3 linked regions of the Arabidopsis thaliana genome follow. The protein of the gene in region 3 interacts with the protein of the main gene of each other region in a pairwise test. Each region holds a gene or a part of one and is shown on either strand. Other genes may lie near its edges.

The links.
Region 1: the proteins of HB32 (region 3) and NIMIN-3 interact in binary tests that used the Arabidopsis thaliana proteins (3 or more experiments, as listed by UniProt).
Region 2: the proteins of HB32 (region 3) and IAA9 interact in binary tests that used the Arabidopsis thaliana proteins (3 or more experiments, as listed by UniProt).

The regions. Positions count from the first base shown.
Region 1 is NC_003070.9:3,035,054-3,041,410, forward strand, and holds NIMIN-3 (NIM1-interacting 3), read right to left. Parts: upstream 3,356-6,357; 5' UTR 3,196-3,355; coding exon 2,857-3,195; 3' UTR 2,701-2,856; downstream 1-2,700. Other genes in the region: AT1G09410 (pentatricopeptide (PPR) repeat-containing protein), read left to right, coding at 390-2,507; G6PD4 (glucose-6-phosphate dehydrogenase 4), read right to left, coding at 3,587-3,824, 3,918-4,118, 4,194-4,390, 4,461-4,617, 4,737-4,771, 4,871-4,979, 5,060-5,265, 5,397-5,511 and 3 more.
Region 2 is NC_003076.8:26,250,076-26,259,244, reverse strand, and holds IAA9 (indole-3-acetic acid inducible 9), read right to left. Parts: upstream 5,838-9,169; 5' UTR 5,354-5,837; intron 5,299-5,353; exon of another isoform or gene 5,110-5,298; intron 4,822-5,109; 5' UTR 4,783-4,821; coding exon 4,241-4,782; intron 4,146-4,240; coding exon 3,919-4,145; intron 3,807-3,918; coding exon 3,665-3,806; intron 3,512-3,664; coding exon 3,450-3,511; intron 3,155-3,449; coding exon 3,111-3,154; 3' UTR 2,701-3,110; downstream 1-2,700. UniProt on the Arabidopsis thaliana protein: Aux/IAA proteins are short-lived transcriptional factors that function as repressors of early auxin response genes at low auxin concentrations.
Region 3 is NC_003070.9:5,043,656-5,050,442, forward strand, and holds HB32 (homeobox protein 32), read left to right. Parts: upstream 1-4,126; 5' UTR 4,127-4,390; coding exon 4,391-4,897; 3' UTR 4,898-5,098; downstream 5,099-6,787. Other genes in the region: BPC2 (basic pentacysteine 2), read left to right, coding at 1-270; AT1G14686 (ENTH/ANTH/VHS superfamily protein), read right to left, coding at 2,126-3,145; AT1G14688 (E3 ubiquitin ligase), read right to left, coding at 5,999-6,179, 6,265-6,383, 6,505-6,558. UniProt on the Arabidopsis thaliana protein: Putative transcription factor.

The DNA of each region.
Region 1 (6,357 bases), 2.0 Mb from region 3:
TGCCTTGGTGATTTTTCAGAGTATTTTGGAGTTTTATTACCAGAATCCGTGAAACAGAGGAAGTTTAAAGAGACACAAATATGTTAGGTGTTAAAAAGTCAAGAGTACACAAATATGTATACGTAATAACAAATTAACTTCTAATTGTTTTTAATTTTATACGTAACTAATTTGATTCGTTAGGTCGAATATCTGTATAGAAAACTACAATTGGGCTATAGAAATGTATTTCTAGACCGTAAATCGTTCCTTGTCCTACAAGATTTGTTTTTTACTTTTTAGTTAAATCTCTTTTTGATAAAGGTTTCCTCTTTAGGTTTTTGTTTTTGTTGTAACTCTTGTTCTGCAAGTTAAAGGTTCATCACTCAGAGCTAGGTAGTACTCTGAGTATGAAGTCACAGATACTCCTACGTCGAACGTATAGCACAACCATCCCTCCTCCCACAGCAAATGTTAGAATCACTCATCTCTCTCGTATCGGCAAGATTCATGAAGCTCGGAAGCTTTTCGATTCATGTGACTCGAAATCAATCTCTTCCTGGAACTCTATGGTTGCTGGGTACTTTGCGAATCTAATGCCCCGAGATGCACGGAAACTGTTCGATGAAATGCCTGACAGAAACATCATCTCTTGGAATGGTTTGGTGTCCGGGTATATGAAGAACGGGGAGATTGACGAAGCTAGGAAAGTGTTTGATTTAATGCCTGAGAGGAATGTTGTCTCATGGACGGCGTTGGTGAAAGGGTATGTGCACAATGGTAAGGTTGATGTGGCAGAGTCGTTGTTTTGGAAAATGCCTGAGAAGAATAAGGTTTCTTGGACTGTGATGCTTATTGGGTTTTTGCAAGATGGGCGAATCGATGATGCGTGTAAGCTGTATGAAATGATACCGGATAAAGATAATATTGCAAGGACTAGTATGATTCATGGATTGTGCAAAGAAGGAAGAGTGGATGAGGCAAGAGAGATTTTTGATGAGATGTCAGAGAGAAGTGTGATTACTTGGACTACAATGGTCACAGGATATGGGCAGAACAATCGTGTGGATGATGCTAGGAAGATTTTTGATGTGATGCCAGAGAAAACTGAAGTTTCATGGACTTCCATGCTTATGGGCTATGTACAGAATGGGCGAATTGAGGATGCTGAAGAACTTTTTGAAGTTATGCCAGTGAAGCCAGTTATTGCGTGTAATGCTATGATTTCCGGGCTTGGACAGAAAGGAGAGATAGCAAAAGCAAGAAGGGTTTTTGATTCAATGAAGGAGAGAAATGATGCATCTTGGCAAACGGTGATCAAAATTCACGAAAGAAACGGTTTTGAATTGGAGGCTCTTGATTTATTTATTCTGATGCAGAAACAGGGAGTTAGACCCACTTTTCCAACATTGATAAGCATTCTTTCGGTCTGCGCCAGCTTAGCAAGCCTCCACCATGGTAAACAGGTCCATGCTCAGTTGGTTAGATGTCAATTTGATGTTGATGTGTATGTTGCGTCTGTTTTAATGACAATGTACATTAAATGCGGCGAGCTTGTGAAGTCTAAACTAATATTTGACAGGTTTCCTTCAAAGGACATTATCATGTGGAATTCAATCATATCTGGTTATGCCTCACACGGTCTTGGAGAGGAAGCATTAAAGGTTTTCTGTGAGATGCCTTTGTCTGGTAGTACTAAGCCTAACGAAGTCACCTTCGTTGCAACTCTCTCAGCATGTAGTTACGCTGGGATGGTTGAGGAAGGGCTTAAGATCTATGAATCTATGGAATCAGTTTTTGGGGTTAAGCCAATCACCGCGCATTATGCTTGCATGGTAGATATGCTTGGGCGTGCAGGACGGTTTAATGAGGCAATGGAAATGATTGATAGTATGACTGTCGAACCAGATGCTGCAGTTTGGGGTTCTCTATTAGGAGCGTGCAGAACTCACTCGCAGCTGGATGTGGCAGAATTTTGTGCGAAGAAACTCATAGAGATTGAACCGGAGAATTCTGGGACTTACATCTTGCTCTCCAACATGTATGCATCTCAAGGTAGGTGGGCTGACGTTGCAGAACTGAGAAAACTTATGAAGACTAGGTTGGTAAGAAAATCACCAGGTTGTAGCTGGACTGAAGTCGAGAACAAGGTGCATGCATTCACTCGTGGGGGTATTAATAGCCATCCCGAGCAGGAATCTATTTTGAAGATACTGGATGAATTGGATGGGTTATTGAGAGAAGCCGGGTATAATCCTGATTGCAGCTATGCATTGCACGATGTAGACGAGGAAGAGAAAGTCAATAGCCTGAAATATCATAGCGAGAGACTAGCGGTAGCTTATGCTCTTTTAAAGCTATCTGAAGGAATACCCATCCGAGTCATGAAGAACCTTAGAGTTTGTAGTGATTGCCACACAGCAATAAAAATAATCTCTAAGGTGAAAGAGAGGGAGATCATTCTAAGAGATGCAAACAGATTCCATCACTTCAGAAACGGAGAGTGTTCCTGTAAAGATTACTGGTGAGATTCAATAAATGCCAAGCAGAATGTTTTTTTTTAATCTTAGGCTTAGCTATCAATCCTCGTTGGAGCGTTGGCAAAATGGAGTAATTCTCGCAAACCATAGGAACTTGCTCAGCCATTGATGAGAGTTCTCTCTAAGTTCTTCTGCTAATATATATATATTTTTTTACTGATCTTGTTATCAATGTGCATTTGTAGCATTTTCTTCAATATGGTTAATAAGAAGTGATGAACAATCTTCAAGCAAAACTAGAATTCCATGACACATTTGTTTTTGGTACGTAGTTACTAACATTCTTTGTTGCTTATACAGAAACTGAAGAGCTCTTTGTCTCTTGTATGTATGTATGCTACAGAGAAAGATTCAAGTCTAAACAAACGTTAGTCTCAGATCCTTCTTGCTTTTCCTTAGAGCCATCATACTCGTTGGATGCTGAAGAGCTCTCATTAGCTGCTTTTTCAATGTTGTTGGCCTCTGCTTTATTCATGAAAATGAAATCTTCTGGCTGAAACGAAGGGAATCTACGAACCCTTGCTCTTTCTTCTTCTTCCTGTCTCTTCTTCTCCATGGAGCTGTTGACATATTTCCGCATTTCCCTTGCGTTTTTAAGCACTGTGTACAACTTCTCCATCTTTTCTTCTTCGTCATCTTCCTTCTCCATTTTCACCCTCTTTCTGTCTCTGTCCATTGAACCGCTCTCTCTTCCTTCCCCTATGAAAATGTTTCTCTTTAGTTACATCATTTTCATCCTACTTTGATCATCAACACATGATACATCTGGAAGAATTTTCTGGAGGAATTGGTGGAGAAGATATAATTATTGCCTCTAGTGGGAAGACTAACAACATGACCTTATCTAAAAGTCTCTCAGACTTTCTTCTTTCCTTTGGGTGGCTTTGGAGACTTTTCAACACTATTATGGACCCCACCATGATGGACATTCATATAGCAACATGACATACATGTGTACATATGTACAGTCTACAGGGAATGGCACAGCTTCAAGCTAAACAAACACACTTCACAATAACCATTCAGAATCACTCTCATTTGTTTGTTGCTGCATCTATGTTTCTTCTTCAGTCATCTGCCCATGGGACACCGTGCTTGGCCCAAAGATAGTATGCCGCAACTGGTCCTCGTCCACCAAATTCATACAACTCCGGAGCTGTGTGATGCTTGTCTATCTCTTCTAGAACCGGACTAAGAATGTTCCATGCTGCTGCAACCTCATCGCTTCTCATGAACAGATGATTGTCTCCGTCAATTACATCATGAATTAGGTGTTCATATGAGTCTGGTACTTCGGTTTTATACCTACAGGTTTGATCCAACAATTCAACCAACCATAAGGCGCAAAAGTTCGATTTTTAAAATGTGTAGGAACAAAGATGAGAATGCAAAACTTGCCTGTCTTTATAGAGCAAGTTAAGTTCAGAAGCGTCTAGCTGAAGACCTAAACCAGGAACCTTGTTGTTGATTTTCACCAGGATGGCCTCATCAGGTTCGTCACGTAGAATAAGCTCATTTGTCCCCAAATCTATGTTTATTCCAATATTTTCTCGGTATAGGTTTCCAGGAACATGCCGGAATTGCACATGAATCTCCACTCTTTCAACATTAAGGCACACCAATCAATTGTTATGACAGTTGGATATGTCTATGAGTAGGAATAATTATTCTTACCTGTGTTTAATGAGGCCAGTGCCAACTCTTACAAGGAAAGGTACACCATCCCAACGTGCATTATCAATATACAAGGCTGCTGCACAATATGTAGGGTCTACACCGTTCAAGATCACACCGTTCTTGTCTCGGGAACTGGATTTATACTGGCCAAGGATGACATCACGCGGGTCTATCTTGCGAATTGATCTTAAAACCTTCACCTGCAGAAGCAGGTTTGTCACCAAGTCACTTGACAGAACAAGAGTACACAACTTACATATATACCATAAGACGATTTTGTTCTTTACAGTACAGGTTGACCTTTTCATTTCGGATATCTTCACCATCGAGACTTATCGGAGGTTCCATGGCAAGTAATGCGATTGTCTGAAGTATATGGCTGTGCACTATGTCCCGTATTATTCCATATCCATCAGAAAACCTTAAAAAAAGCAGTAGGAAATTAGAAAATAACATTACTGATTTGTCTAAGAATGCTGAAACAACACAATTTACTCTCACATGCAAAGAAATGGTGAAAATAGAACTATTGTGCCTTACTTTTCTGTTTGCGCAATTGATTCTGATATAATAACCTGGAAACATCATTTATACACAAAGTGAACAAACCAGAATGTGGAAGAGGAAAGTTCAGGCACTATACACAACTACAAACAATCAGAAGGAAACACTACCTGTATATTGCGTATGTATGTTCTGTTCCATAGTGGTTCAAAAACTAGATTTGAAAACCTTAACACTGTCAGATTTTCAATGAGGTTTCTTCCTAACATGTGATCTATCCTGTAACGGGCACAGAAGTGTGAAGAAATATGAACTTGAGAGCTGTGCATGCAGAAAGCAACTAGATTTAAAAGAAGGACCTGTAGATTTGCTTCTCTTCAAACTTAGAGAGAAGTGACTTTGTTAACTGATGAGACGAATGTGAGTTAAAACCAAAAGGTTTCTCAACTATTATTCGAGTCCAGCCTCGTGGTGCCTGAGCGTTATCTCCAATGGTGCATGCCACATCCACCAGAGCTTCTTGAGGTACTGAGAGGTAAAAGATTCTATTTGCTTCTGATTCTCCCTGAAGAAGAAAAGCTGTTAATGTCTTATTCTATCTTGCTTGTCTGTTCAAAATGTTGTAAACTCAGAAAGAGGACTACTTCTGGGACAAAATGTAATCATTGAAAGAAAGAAAAAAAGGTACTTAGGAACCTCAATCTGTTTCATTCTCTCGGCAAGTCGGGACATCCCATCCCTGTTATTATAACCTCCATTGATATAGTATGTTCTACTCTGAAATGCATCCATCTTGCCCCCACAATTCTCCCTGAACATTTAGCATCATTCTTTAGCTAGCACGGCCGTATATCAGAGATACCAAATTTAAGGTAGTACCAAGAATTATACATACTGATGATCAACACGGCAAGTCAGCGTTGATGCAATGATGGATCTGAGGTCTTCATCTGTCAGATTCTTTCTTGAAACCCCAAATATAGCAACATCCTGTGACAATGAAGACCAATCAAGAAGACAACCGAAAAAAACTATCCAACTGTTTTGCTGCTTACTTTGTAATTGTTCATGAGCACAAAAGTCATACCTCAGGAAGGTAGCCGCTATAATACAACGCAAACAATGCCGGGAAAATCTTCCCTCTTGCTAGCTCACCAGTGGCTCCTACAACAGCAATGCAAAGTGAGGCCCTTCTTCGAACATCTGAAAGATCATCCGAGAGTTGTTTTGACACAGGTGGTAAGTCTCCAACATTGTGAAACCCATCATTCAAATCCGTTCCCAGAATATTCTCTTCTGGTCGTAAATCTTCAGCTCTAGTTTCTTCAGCAAAACCTGCATCACATTCTACCTCAGGAAGTGCTAAAGAATGATCAAGTGAAGACATGAGATGTAAATTGACTCATATCTTAGAACTAGACCTCGTTCATCATCGCTGAGGAAAGTGTGCTTTGAGTGTGTTGTAAGCTCGTTTACAGGCTGATGTTTTCTGTTGTTGCCTTGTCTACGATTCAAGCTCTTAAGTATCCACAGTTTCAAACCACAGAATCTCCGGCAGAGATTCGAGCCTCCTCCGTTGAGAACAAGGCTTCCACTTCTGGAGAAACTATAGTCTCTTGACGAAACCTATTCACACAAAATAGAGAAATTTCAACAA
Region 2 (9,169 bases), on a different chromosome or scaffold from region 3:
AACAAGCTTTCTATACTCAGTAGGGTCGGAGAGAGTTATACCAGACATGAGTGTGAGTTTAGGAGATGATGCCATTGGTGTTCCTACTGGTTTGGCGTTAATCATGTTGTAGCGTTGAAGTAGATCAAGAATGTACTTTCGCTGCGAAAGATGTAAGCCCTTAGACGTCCGATGATCTTCTAGACCAAGAAAATAGTTGAGATCTTCAGGGTCTTTGATGGAGAAGCGAGCTGCGAGTGCATCAAGAACTTGTTGAATGCTTCCTTTGTGACTACCCATGATTAGTATATCGTCGACATACACCAATAGATAGACAAATTATTTGCCACGTTGCAGAATAAACAGAGAAGTGTCAGCCAACGAGTTTTGAAATCCCAAGGTGAGGAGATAAGTCTTCAATTCCGTATACCAAGCACGCGGAGCCTGTTTTAACCCGTAAATCGCTTTACGTAGTCGACAAACGAATGATGGATTGTCGGGATCAATAAACCCAGGAGGTTGCTCCATGTAAACTTCTTCTTTCAAGGTGCCTTGAAGAAAGGCGTTGTTGACGTCTAATTGTCGGATTGGCCACGATCGGGTTACCGCAACATCAAGAACAAGACGTAAGGTGGTCGACTTGATCACAGGACTGAAAGTGTCTGTATAATCACGGCCAAGTTGTTGATTATACCCTTTTGCCACAAACCTTGATTTGCACCTGCCAAGAGAACCATTAGGGAGAAATTTGTTTTTAAATACCCATTTACAACCAACAATGTTCTTATTAGGCTCTTGATACCATGTTAAGAATGTAATGACTTATATTATACGAATAGCTTTACACAAGTATATATACAAGTACAGAGGAGGCTACACTAGGGTTGTACAAATATAGAATGTTCCATAAAGGAGATAGAGGAATATTATGATATTAAAGAGAGATGATCCTATGTATCCTTAACAAATCTAGTTTAGTTGGATTTGATTTAACATTTGAAAAACTTGTATACCAACTTAATTCGAAAACTGTATGGAAGATTTTGAATGTCCTAACACAATCACAATTATTGTATATATATACTTGGTCTGTCCGGACAAAACTGCTAATCAAACCTTTCAAAGAAAAAAAGGAAAAACCAAAAAAAAAAGAACTTAACTAAACAATAAATCAATAATAATGCTGATACGATATATTTTGTCCATATATATGAGATCGTAAATCTCTCCCATGACTGATAACTGATAAGAAATCTATGGATACCATCAATTCGGTGGGTTTGTTGAAGGTCTACCAAATCGAAGAAACACACATTCATTCTCGTAATCGTACGTATATTCATTTATCTAGCTTCTTTTATTTGAATTTTTACGCAATATGCAATTCGATTCGTAGACTCAGTTGAATATAATTGACCTAATACCTAATGCTTATAACTAAATATTATAGATACTATTCTTGAATGCAACATTGAGATGATCAAATCATTTACATTTACAATCTTATTTTTCTCGTTTGATGAAGAAATAATTTTGGGGAACAACCATATATAGATGAGTGATAAAGGTATTGCCACGTTCCATTACTGAGAAGCATAATTCAATTCATATCTTTTGGAGACAAATTCGACATGTCATTCCCTAAGTCTATTTCATATATTTAATTTTAAAAACATTGAATATTACTATATAGTTTATCAACTTATATGGATGTATATAGTATGTCCCATTCGAATAAGTGCATCAAAGCGAAACGAATTAAATGAGATTCACGACCAATGATTGTTGTTTATGTGTATACTATTAAGTTCACGTGAAGCTAGCTACAAGAATCACAGATATATACTACATTATTTGGATTAAAGTTTTAAAGTAACAAGAGTGATTTAAATTCGACCCGTAGGTTCTCTTAAACTATGAGAGTACTATATGAGTCTTTAATTATCTTGATCGAATATATGCCTTGGAATTGATTAATTAACGCCTCTTTGAAAAATTGGACAGTTGAATATAACATTTCATTTTAGGTGGGGTTTAATCATATTGTTTTGTCAACGCTAACGGAATTATTAAAAATGAACAATAAATGATATCACAAAAATAATTTTCATAAAACAAATAAGCAAACCACCATTGCCAAACCCAAAGAGGCGCACTATGCTTCCACCTTCAGGAACAGAAAAATAATAAACGTTCCTTGAATGAGAAATGGGAAATTAGTATATGGGAATTTATGTTCATGTATCTTTGACTATTTTTCTCTCAAACGATATTATTCGATACTATTAAACTATAGTTATTCACTAAATCTAAAACTGATTCGTTGAAATTTATGATATCTTCGTTTGGGGATTGTACTATATAGTTATCATGAGTTTGTACGCAGCCCATGCTTGCTAAGGTAAACAAAGTTTCATGGAAGGTTAAAAAGTGAAATAATGATATCAAAACCTTTTCCCGGCGAAATTACTTTTATTTATCTTTGATTTGTCTTGTAGCTTTTGGTTCTTCAGGTGAATTATTCAAGTTGGTTTAAAGATCCGTTGGTGGCAATGATTTGGTAGCACAGTTTAGTTATGACAGTTATAAAAAGATTTTTTTTTCTTTCTGATTAATCTTGATATTCCATTTAGAATAGAGTCATAGACATTGAGAAAAACGTAGGTTTACCACTTCCGCATTCAAATGTGTTAGAATTTAACAATCCACCTCAAAGATTTAAGTACTGATTAATATTTAAGATTGTTTTGCAAATGCAGAAGAAGAACCTCCATGTTCAATGATAGAAAGCCAAATCGTAAAACCGGATTGTCTATCTTCTCTTCTCGAGAAGAAGCAAAGAAGAGAATAACAAAAACGTTACATCAAATAATATCTCAAAGGTAGAAGTCAACCACACATCCAAATCAAACACAAAACATAAAACAACGACCAGTTTACTGACTAAAGCAACAAACAAACAACAAAAATAGATCATTTTTAATTCTTCTTCATTTCCTTACATTCGTAGTCTTACTTACTTCATTTTAAAAATTCAGAAACTAAAGATATTGATGTTTTGAAATTTAAAAACACCACCAAAAGATCGCACATATTTTGTATAGTTAGAAAGCTTTGTCATGTTCCATCTTTTAAGCTCTCATCTTCGATTTCTCCATTGCTCTCGGAGCTGCAGCTGCAATATCACCAGTTCACCACATTGAATCATTAAGACATTTTGAATCAGAGAAGACGAGTGATCAAACATGAATTGAAATCAGTTTAATTTCGATTTTATTTACATGTTAATTTGTTGTATTTACTCCCAAAAGAAGACGAGTGATCAAACATGAATTGAAATTTCTAAATCAGCTACAAGTAACTCACACCAACAAACCACTAATCTCATCATACACACTACTTGTAATCGGTTTTAGTAGAGATAGTAGTTTACGTTGTAGCTTAGGAGCAGAGAGAAGAATAGACTTTACCTAACCCAATAGCATCACACCCTTTCATTATCTTCAGCTTCTTGCAGACATCAATAAACATCCTGTAATATACATCGGATCAGAAATCACTCATGAGCGCTTATACCAATCACCATGATATAATCTTCTATGGCATGTTAGATTTGATTCTAAGATATCTGGCAGAGAGTAGAGAAAGCTTCTAACAAGTTTTGAATATAAGAGAGGAAACTTACTCCCACGGAACATCTCCAACAAGCATCCAGTCACCATCCTTATCCTCATAAGTGAGCACATAGTCTTTTCCATTCAAAAGATCCTTGAGCTTGGTCTCACTAAGCATATCCTTCCCAGCAGCTCCATTAGATCCACATTGACCTAAACATCAAATAAACAGTGCAGGTTAACTACTTTGACTGCACTCATTCATTGATCCTTAAATAGAAAGAGGTTTTCAAACACATCACTAGCAATCACTGAAACATCTCACCAAGAGTGAAAGTGGTGAACATTTTCTCCAAGGCTGAAGAAAGCTCCCCGTAGTTAGTGTAGCTCCTCAGGTCAACTTTCCTCAGATAAGGAGCACCATCCATACTGACCTTCACGAAGAGAGCCCCAGAACCTGGCCTCCCATCAACTTCGTCACTGTTCTTACAAGTAGTGGCCAATGTGTTCTTCCTGTAGGATCTCACTGGAGGCCAACCGACAATTTGTGCCCTGAAAATTCCAGAATCCGAAAAAACACCAGTTAGCTAGCTGTTGAAAGTAATCCATATCAAAATCGAACGAATGCTCCTATCTTCTATTCATACTTGGCTGCAGGTGGACTAGAGCTATTGTTTGTAGTGCTAGACTGTCCTTTGGGTATGTTTTGTGGCACATCTTTCTTTGTTACAGACTGGGTGGCTGCTGCTTCAGGGAACATCCAGTTTTTCTCAGTATACACTGAACTTTTAGCTTCAGCAAACTGATCCATTGTGTCAGAAAAGCCTCTTTTGTTTCCCGATGCATTGTTCTTTTGCGAGGAGGAGCATATCTCATCTTTAGAAGGAAGCAAAGGAAAGAATGGCTTCTCATCTAGCTTTGCTGGGCTCAAAAGGTTAAGCTCTGTGTCTCTCGCAGGAGATTGTGATCCAGGAAGACCAAGTGTCAGCTCCGTAGCCTTGAGGCTGATAGTAGCTTTGTCATCTTCAGCAAGGGGAGAGAGAGTAGAGCTTCCAACAGAAGAACAATCAGAGAGACCCAAGTAGTTATGCTCTTTAAGTCCTCCTAGAGTGTTCCTGGAGATGCAATTGCTAGTAGGTGAAGAACTAGCCACCGATACATTGCTCTGTAGCTCCTCTTCCGGGGACATTGGATACTCAAGGTTTCTTTAACTGCAAAGCTGCTTTACCTGATGATTTACACAGCACAAAGTCCTCCACATTAAATTCACATAACCATAAACAAATCCTCAAACAAAACCCTAAATTACCAGAAAAAATCAAGAACTCAATTTCAATCAAAATTCGAAGAAACTCGAAACCGTATCAATTAGGGTTTCAAAAGTAGATTGCATCTATGAAAAACTCACAACCAAAATTTAGAGCAAAATAAAGCTCAATCTGAGAAAAAAATGGAAAGCTAAAAATAAATAGAAGTCAACTTAAGGTCAGATGAAGAAACTACACCGTTGAGTTACATTTTTCGAGCTGATCTCAGATTTGAATTTCCACAGAATTCTATCTACAAATCACTAAACCTAGCAAGGTTTAAGCCAACAGCTCAAACAAACCAAAATTCGCCATAGAAATAGTGAGGAAATCAGCAAAGAAACTCAATAGCTAATAGATCTAATAACTACTAACTACACACACAAACAACAACAAGCTAAAAATTACCGGATTTGAAACTATGTATAAGAAGAACAGAGAAGACATAATTACCTCAAACGGAAAAAACAAATCCTGGATGAAAAATGGAAGCTCACAACGAAGAAGAAGAAGACGATCAAAAATAAGAGAGTCTGAGATATTTTGGAGAAGAAGAGTATAATTTTTAAGAAACTGTAGAAGATGAATAGCAAAGAGAAAGAGAGAGAGAAGTGTCAAGGTCCTTCCATTAAAGCAGAAAAAAGCTTAATTATCATTACCCAGAAACTCGTAGCCGAGATTAAAATTAAAATAACTAAACAAAGTGGTAGAATAGAAAATAAGTGGAAAAAGTTGCGTATTTTTATTTACGAATGGATTCTAATCCAACGGCTCAGATTTGATCGTGCTGATAATTCTAAACCGTCGGATTTAAATCAGCAGATATGAACCGTTGATGTACAAATGTCGGGAGTCGGATCTTTAAACAAAATTATGCCACTTTTCTGGCTCCACCCGAAAGGGGATGGTTGTCTGCAAATATTAAATTCCGATTCTATCCTTTTGTTTTTAATGACTAATGTAACCTCTATGTGATGATAATGTGATTGAGGAATGAAGGGTAAAATGGTAAAGAGAGAAAAAGAGGAGTGAGGAGGGGACAAGAAAGCGGCATTCCAAGTCGGTTTGCCGGGTGGTGAATGGGACATCTAACCTCTTCCACTTTCTTCCTTTCTCTCTCTATCTCTACTTTATTAATCTAAAATTAATTAAGACTTGTTAATCTTTTTTTATAATCACTTTCTTTCTTTCGGATTAAATTTAATTAAATTCCGCCACCTTCCTAATTTCTTTAACTTTCATTATTACGTTTCCTTATCTTTCAATTTTTTTTACTTAGATTGGCCCAACTGGATGGGGCCCATTGAGAAATGTTAGTCCCCCCAAACTTGAATTTTTCATTTTGCTTTTTTTTTTTGGTTTGGCATTCATTGTAGTCTTCTAGATAGATGAATGGGTAAATAGTATAAGTAACTTTAATAATGACTATAGATTAATCTTTTTCATAAGGTTACGTCACGTGCTAGATTTTTGTTTTTTATTTTTGTTGAATTTGCACTTAAATAAGTAAACTGATTGAAACAAAATTATAGTCATGACAAAAATTAGATACATACAAGTTTGTCCGAATTGAGTTTAAAAAAAAAATCTCATTTTTTGAAAGTATAATTTGTGGTGTTATTGTTAGAAGTACAAAATTTGAATGTGAACAACATACATATTTCTGGAGTATTAAATATGTCTGAATTGCACTGTTACGATCATCATACACAACGTTTAATCCATAGTAATAAGGATGATTGGTTAAAAAGTAAAAAAGTAAATTCGTTGGTAATAAACAGGTAAATTATGTATGTTAATTTTTATAGTCGGTTACATTCTTTTCGTGTTAAAAAGAAAAAAAGAAAAAAATTATAGTCGGGTGTAATATACATAAAAAAAATTACTGTAAAAAATTCAAAGTAATTAAAAAAGGAAGGTAATGGGAATTGGGGAAAGGGGAGCATAATAATAACAAAAGGGGTGAAATGGGATTGAAGAACACGCATGGGAAGCACAAAATATCTCAATCTGACCGTAGGATTTGATGGTAAGAGAGTAAGAGAGGCCTGTGTCCGTTCATCATCATCATGACCTTCTCTGACTCTTTTTTTTTCATCATCACTCTTCCGTACCACTCACGTTATCTCTTTTTTACCCCTCTCTATTCTTTTTAACCTTTTTTCTTTCCTTTTACCAAAGATTTAAAGACGATTAATCAAAAAAAAAAGTCTTTAACACCTTATGCACAAAGAGGAAAGTAAAAGAAAAATATTCACCGTCCAGAATAATAATACGGCATTTCTTAACCTTCCCCGTAAAAAGTTTTGATTTTCTCTTTCTCATATTTTGTTTAATCGTCTGTATAATAAGTAAAGGATATTAATTATTTCAAATTACTACAACTACCATCAGACATTATATTTAAAATTATGAGTACATGAAAATATGTGTCTAATTAAAAAGTGATTGGTAAAAAACAATAATAGTAATACAGATAAATTATTACAAAAATGCAAAAGTAAACAGTAGATCAGATTAGCAGCATTTGCGAGTACAAATAATGCGGGTTGAGACAAGACAATGAGACCCGTAGTGCTTTTGTCCTTCACGCTTATTTTATTAGTCTTTGATTGATGATGGATTCACTAAAGTTAATTAATCTTTTTCCCCGTAATTAATTAATTTATAATTAGAGTGGAGGAAATCAAACGACAAGACACGTTAGACTGTTTACTTTGGGCCCAGACTTTGCACTCTAGTATATAAAAATTCATTTATAATTGGGCTTTTATTTCATATTATAACATAGGCCCATAAGCCACTATCCTTCTTGATGGGCCATAATATACTTACCTCTCTCGTATTAAGGATTTGTTGAATTTATAATCTACGTGTTGACCCCAAAAAAAATGTAATGTACGTAAGATATTTCTTCGTTTAGTCAGTCATGTTGCTGTCAACGTTTTTATAATTCTTTGTATCACAATTTTTTCAATTTTTTTTTAACTAGAAATACACAAAAACAACTAATTATTTATTGCAAATTGTTATATGTTTTATATGTCTCAATATAGGGTCAAACGACGAGCTACTAAATCGGATTTGCACAACAAAATAATATAATTAATTTTATCGAGTTCGTAATAGGACAATGTACCGAGCCGTGATCATCAATATACGAGAGAGCCATTAAAATATATTTGACCGAAAATCAAATACACCTTCGAGTTTTCACATAAAACCTCCGTCAGATATTTCATCCCTCGCAATAAATTACTACATAAAGATAACATTTTAAATTACATGTATATCTAGCTGTATATGAATTAGATATAAGAAAAAGAAAAAAACGGTTTCTTTTTCTTTCTATGTATAACACCTGTATTTGTACATATCGCTTAGGGTCTTAGTCTATATCAACATGGTCCCATACAGCTTAGTTTTTGCTTGTGGAACAGGTTTGGATTTTTCTACAACATAAGAGCTTATATTATAAATGCATATTAAGTCAATTTCTCTGTTTAATCAAATCTTTTTGGTTCTAGAATTGATGTCACCGAATCGCTATGTATCTTTGATTAGATTGGAGAAAAGACAGATTTGCGTCACTCTCAAAACAAACCCAACAACATGCTGCATACCTCATTGAAATCGTTATTAGTAGATAATAATTTGTAAGTTCATTTTTTGGACTAATTAAAAAGTTTAATGTTATTATGTTAGATATATATTATAATGGTTATTAACAACGTTTTAAGCAAACACACAAGTTGTGATATAAAAAGTGTAGGATCGTGGGGTTTAGGGTTTACAATTATAATGGTTAAAACACGTTTTATAGAATTTTTTGTTATTGATAGAAAAAAAAAAGTGATATAAAAAAGTGTAAGATGGGTTTAGTGGATATACTCATTGACCCTAAAAGAAACGGCGGTGACAAATTCAAGACCCATTCACAGTTCACACTTCGCACACACATAGATATAGATATTTTTATTGTGATTACAAGTTAAAATAGCAAGTCTACTTCCTAATAGAAATTCCTTGTATTTCATTTTAGAAATTTGAAACCAATTTTCTATAAACTCAATTGTACAGTATATGAAAGTAAGCACAATTTAAAAAGAAAAACTGAAAATAATTGTGCTTACTTTATTTTAGTTTTCGTCAATAACAGTGTTTATAGATGTTTGCATATGAAAGATCGTATCTAATCTTACTAAGAAACTTATAAATCTCAAAGATAATTGTTATCTTGTGTCAAATTTCGAAGAGGAACTAGAGCAT
Region 3 (6,787 bases):
TGCACTTGCACTGGAGCTCCTCAGCAATGCTACCGTTGGGGATGTGGCGGTTGGCAGTCTGCTTGTTGTACCACAAACATCTCAATGCATCCATTACCAATGAGTACTAAACGCCGTGGAGCGAGGATCTCGGGAAGGAAGATGAGTCAAGGCGCGTTTAAGAAGGTTCTTGAGAAACTTGCTTCTGATGGGTTTAACTTTGGGAATCCGATTGATCTTAAGAGCCATTGGGCAAGACATGGAACTAACAAGTTCGTCACAATCAGATGATTAGTTGCTTGATTAGTAAAACAGAACAAGTGAGTGTTTCTCTTCCGGGATGGAATCTCTCAATGATGGTGTATGTATATACAACAAATCTGAAATCTGTGACCTTTTCAAAAATTCTGTCTGCAATCTGAGTTCGATTCTGTTTTCAGGTAAACCATCTTCGTTGTAGGGTTTGGAAGCAGAGTTCTCTGTTTTCTTTACCACTTTTTTTTATCACACTTTTGCTTTGTTTTTTGTTTGTTTGTCTATCTGTGTGTCTGAGGAAGAAGAAGGTGTCTGAGAAAAAATGGGAAATTTGCATCTATAACATACAAAAAAACTTTAATTAAGTAACTAACCAAAACAAAAAATGTATGTGATATTCTGTGTATATTCTATAATATAGACCATCGTACCCCTTATATAAATATCACATACACTTTTTATCTTTCTTCTTTGTTTTCACCCTCACTCTCTTCTCTTTTTTTCCCAATATATCTCAGGATTTCTTCAGCTTTATTCTCACATGACCACTATTTATTCTCCTTGACCAAACTCTAACCTTAATAATAATACTGATTCTAGATCTGCTTAAGAGTACTTGTAACTGTATTTGTACTATTCTATTTTGCTGCCATACAATTTACGTTTATACGGTAAAACTAGTTGGTTTGATTAAGTATTAATTATGATTGAAAAGATTAATAAATTAAAGAAACTTGGATTGAACCCTTTTTATTCAATCTCTTTAATTTCAGCTAATAAGAATTTGCCACCAAATAAAAAAAATCATTTAATTAGAAAATCTAATATGCCACCAAAACAAAATTATATATAAGTTGATTTATGAAATATGATTAGGGTTTAAATTTTATGATTAAATATAGTGAAATATTGGTTTGAGTTTATAATCAAGTTTAGATTTTACAAAAAAATGAGGTTAAATGTCGGTTGGGGTTTATAAACAGATTTAGATTTTATAATTAAACAAAGTTAAATATCGGTTTGGGTTTTGAAAATATGGTTAGAGATTAGATTTTACAATTAAACTCGTTTAAATGTCGGTTTGGGTTTACAAAAGAGAATTAGGGTTTAGATTTTGTAATTAAACTAGATTATGTATGGTTTGGATATATACTATAATTATTAAAGTTTAGATTTTATAATTAAATTATTTTTATTTATTTATTAGATGACATCTAATAAAAGAGGATGATAAAAGGGTTTGCCCCTAAATCCAAGTATTGTTCATAAATTAATGTAAAAACAAAATTATTTGGATATATTCAAATGTTAATTTTTAAAGATCGTACATATATTTTGTGAATTCTATATTATTTACACTTTCATATGGTATAATCTAACTCTGATTTCAAAACCAAATAGTGATAAAATATTTTAATCCAGGTTGATTCTAGTTATGCTACGTCATACCCACACTTACCTTGCCTCAATTATGCATCTCAAGCTTTGGAGGATAGTTTTGTATTTCCACTCATCAACATGGTTACTTACTACATTATGAGTATTATGGTGTTACTTTCTTAATATTTTATTGAAAAAGTGATATTCTTGCAATTGACCCAGAAAAAATCTGCAGGGAAATTTATTTTTTTGTACTTTTTTTTTTTCTTCCTTTTGTTATCTTTTTATAAACATTTTACTGACTTGTAACAGATATTCTTTTAATTAAATGTTTTTATTTTTCAGATTACCTTTATTTGTACTTATATATAGTTGAAAAACATACTAGAATTGATGTCTGAATAATCATTAACTAAAGGAAGTATAGCTTTGTCCCAAGCGCGAAATTAATTTGAATGTGTACCATATGAACAATAACAACAATCGAAATTAATACAGAATATAATCATAGTTAAAAGCTAATTAAGTCTGGAATATCAACGACAACAACTCTCGGAGGAGAGGCAGGAGCTTCCTCATTATGATCAAGTGTTATCAAATCAGAAAGCTTCGTCTCTATCTCTTCCTCTTCTTCTTCTTCTTCCTCAGCAATCTCTGTTCTCTCCGCACTTTCCTCAGACGACTCCATCGCCGTCCTTACGAGTTCATCGAGATGAATCACATCCGCTTCAGGAATCCTTACGAAATTAGGAATCTCTTGAGCATTAGAAACTCCCAAGTCTTTACAAAACTCAAAATACTTTTTTAGCTCTCCTCCTTGCTTCATGGATTTAGCAACAATCTTCAACGCCAAGTCTGCCTCTGTTTTACCTATCTTGGAGTGCACGTTAGGTAAAACTTCAGCAATACGACGACAAATCCAACCGTAAATCTCCATAATCTCACTAACCACATTCTCCATAGCTTCATTAATCACAGGTATCATCATGTTTTCACCAATCGGTTTGATTCTAATCAAAGAATCAACAATAATCTGCATCTTACGAATAATCACAAGTCGAATCAGAACCGATGATTCTTCGTTGTATCGATGACGATTCCCATCGTGAAACAGAATCGATCTTCGATCAAGAAACGCGAAATAAGCACGTACGAAGAGATTAAACCCACCGGATTTGCTCATAATCCGTGAATTACCTTCGCCGAAACTCGAAAGATCGAAAGGTAACCGTCCGATCGATTCTGCTACGGTTGATTTACAGAGGAAGAAGCCGTGCATTAGCATTAAGCCTTTTAAAGCAACCGCCCAGCTTCGCGTGCGTTTCACGCGAGACGAGATTAAGCTTACGAGAGGCTTGAGGCTTGACGGGCTAGAGAGAACGTGACGGTAGATGAATTGAGCGCTCTCTGTATCAATGGAGAGCTCGTCGTGGCTTGTAGCTTTCACAACGGCTGCTGTGAGAATGTCATCAGCCGCGATGAGACTAGGTCCGTCTTTGAGAACTACGGCGGCGCGTTTCCAAAGCTTCATCTTCCGACTAATGTGTGTGGTTTCAAATTGTTAGTTTCTATTTCGCGCTTTATAATTTTCATTTTAAACCGTGTTTTGTTTTCTTTGATGTCAATTCTTTGCTGGTTTAAAACGAATTAGATAAGGATAAGCTAAAATTAAGAAATCTCAGTTTTGACCAAAATAAAAAAAGATATTTTTGATGTCGTTACTAAATTATTATCTTCCATTTTTCAGTTTAACTCGATTGATTACGTAATAAGTTCATTAGATAAGTGTTGTTTGGTTGGCTTTTCTATATGTTTCGTTGATTTTGTTTTGAGGCAATTTTCTAGTGTAGTAGTGTTGTAATCGTATATAATGTATGTGGTTTGAGCAAGTCAAATTATGACTTTGTTTGTACAATATGGAAATATACATATCTTAATTATTAATGGTGTGATTGATATCGTTAAGCCGTAAAATAATCGTTTAGCTTGCTAAATTACACACAAAACATAAAGTAGGCAAATGAACATATACGATAGTGAATAGTCAACTCGTGGGTCACACAATTGCTTTTTTGCTAAACCTCTTAAAAGAAAGCGTTTCAGACTTCTTTTTGCAATAAAATCAGATTCTTTGAAAACTTTTGATCTTTGCTTCTTAATTATAGTTTCATTTTAGTTACAATATATTATTGATATTTCTCAATTTTACAAAATTAGTTTCTTAAATCTTACTTTTATAAATCAAAATACTTCTACTTATTTAGAAACATGTGACCTCTATACAATCCAAACTTATTAAATTTGTTTATACCTATATTAAAAACTTATTACTAATATATTAGTACTAGTTTACTAGTACTAATTAGCCGCTATAGTTTTACAAAAAGTGGTTTAGTTTTCTTATTCCTCATTATTGCTACTACACTTAACCCAATGGATTGAAAGAGTTAACTATGGGTAGAGATGACAACTTTATGAGCTGAGAGGATACGAAATTATGGATGTGTAGAAAAGCAAAGCCAGTGAAACAGTTCAAAAAGTGGGTTTTTCACATTTATTATGACAACTAATAAACACGTAAGTACAAAATCTTAAAGCAAGTAAGTAACAATAATTTTTGCTCTTTTTGTAACTCCCAACTCTTTCTGACACAAAAAAACACCATATCATAACTTAAGTAACCCAAAACCAAACTCTTCCAAAACAAACCCTAAACGCAAAAATCATTACTCAAAAAAAAACAAAGTCTCTCTCTTCTAATTAGAGAGCCAAGAAGATGCAGAGTACTTGTGTCTACAGAGAATGCATGCGCAACCACGCCGCGAAGCTCGGCTCTTACGCCATCGATGGCTGCCGTGAATACTCTCAACCATCCACCGGCGATCTCTGCGTCGCCTGTGGTTGCCACCGCAGCTACCACCGTCGTATAGACGTCATATCTTCTCCTCAAATCAATCACACGCGCTTCCCGTTCACGAGCTTAAGGCGCGTGAAGCAGCTGGCGAGGCTGAAATGGAAAACGGCTGAGGAAAGAAATGAGGAGGAGGAGGATGACACGGAGGAGACTTCGACGGAAGAGAAGATGACGGTGCAGAGGCGGAGGAAGTCAAAGTTCACGGCGGAGCAGAGAGAGGCGATGAAAGATTACGCGGCGAAGTTGGGATGGACGTTGAAGGATAAGAGAGCGCTTAGAGAAGAGATAAGAGTCTTCTGTGAAGGGATTGGTGTTACTCGTTATCATTTTAAAACTTGGGTTAACAATAATAAAAAGTTTTATCACTAACTAATTAACTAATATCCTTAATTGAGATAATACTATAATTTAGTTCCAATTTCATTTTCATCCCTTCTGTGTTAATTTCTCCTCCTTGATCGCTTATTTTAATGGATTATTATTTTATCATTAGTGGGTTTAATGTGTTTGATTTGGACATGTCCTTAATTACTAACTGGTTCACTCTTTAATTGGTCTTTATGATTCTTCTTTTTACGTCGGTGGGATTTGAGTTTTGACAAGACAACTAGCTGACGTTTTATTTATGGTCAATACTGTTCGCCAATCAGAATATTTATACGTAATAATATTGAAGTAGTTGAATAGTAGTACTAATTATTATGGGAAAGGATGGCAAAATGACATTTTGTTTTGATAGAAAATTGTAAAGATTACATATCTAATTCTAAAATTTGTAAATAATTAATGGTAAGATATATTTCACGTAATGAAAAGACAATTAGTTACGGAAATAACACAACATTGTGTTTTTTCGAGGTTTGTTACTAAAAATTATAATGACATCATCAAAGCCAATAAAAGCTGTTATGCTTTTTTTTGTAGAAATAGTCATTTCAAAAATAATTTTTATACTTTTTGCTTTTTTATAAAGTCGTAAAACCATATACTTAAAAGTATATACCAATAAAATTGTGAACTAATTGATTCATAAAATTGTAACTTTGCTACCATTATACCAAGCATCCCATTCCCACGAAAGTTTCAACTTTAATTGGGCTTTTGTTGGCATTTCAAGGCCAATAAGAACACCTTTGAGAAAACTAAAAAACATAGCTCTAGTCTACAATTATTCTAGTGTTTACCTACTGATTTAGAAAATGATTAGGATTTAGGACCAGGTTAACTAAAACCAGAGACAGTCTTGCCCGGCTCGATCTGAACCAAGCTTGCCCGTAATCTCAATCCAACGTACAAAAAACAAATAAACAAAACTGTATAAAAAAGTTTCACCATACAAATTGTAGACATGATTACTTGATTAGATTCAAATACTCGTTAAGATTTGCCTAAACACAGATTACAAGTGTGTTTTGTGAAATCAATTCGTTGCGTAATTCTTCTCCCTGAGACTTTTCTTGCCAGAAAGTCCTAGAAATCACTGATGTCGGTATCTTCGCTGTCTGAGCTACCATTCTGTGAACTGCTGTCACCTAAGTCCTTTTTCTTCCACACGAATGGTAACAAAACCTTTCTTGCATAATCCACACCGTACACGACGGCTATAGCCACAGCAATAGATCCGAAGATCTTGGCGAGTATTACACAAAGCCTGCAAAAATAACACAACAAAATATGATTCATCACCTCACCTCCCAAAGTAAGTGTATAACAAAAAAACATGAGTCTGTCCTTACTCTGACTGTGACTTCATGTTATTAACCATCTCATCAAAGGAGCTCTCTTCACTAAACACTATTAAAGACTGTTCCTTGGATTTTTGAATCATGAGATTACCAGCTTTGTCTCTAACAGCCTATACAACAGTACAACAGAAGAGGGAAAAAAATGTAACTGAACTAACCGCTAAAACGCCACTCTTGCAGGATCCACATTTCCTGAATAAAGAAACAAGTCAAAAGGAACACTTCCTTTACCTCACCAACAAAAGTCAAAGAGGTACCAACTTTAAGAGCCTGCCCAAAGATAACCTAAAGAAAAACATCACGTTGTTGGTTTCAACTTTCAACACAAGGAATTAGAGGTTTTCTAGGGAACAAAACAGAGAAGGAGAAAACAATGAAGGAACAAAGAACCTTAGAGCCTTCTTTGGGTGAACAAAGACTTTTGAAGGATTCACCAAGTGATTTTACTTCATACGGTCTTACAATTTCATTAAAACCTAGAGCACCTTCAGCTCCCACTACATTCACCCGACCC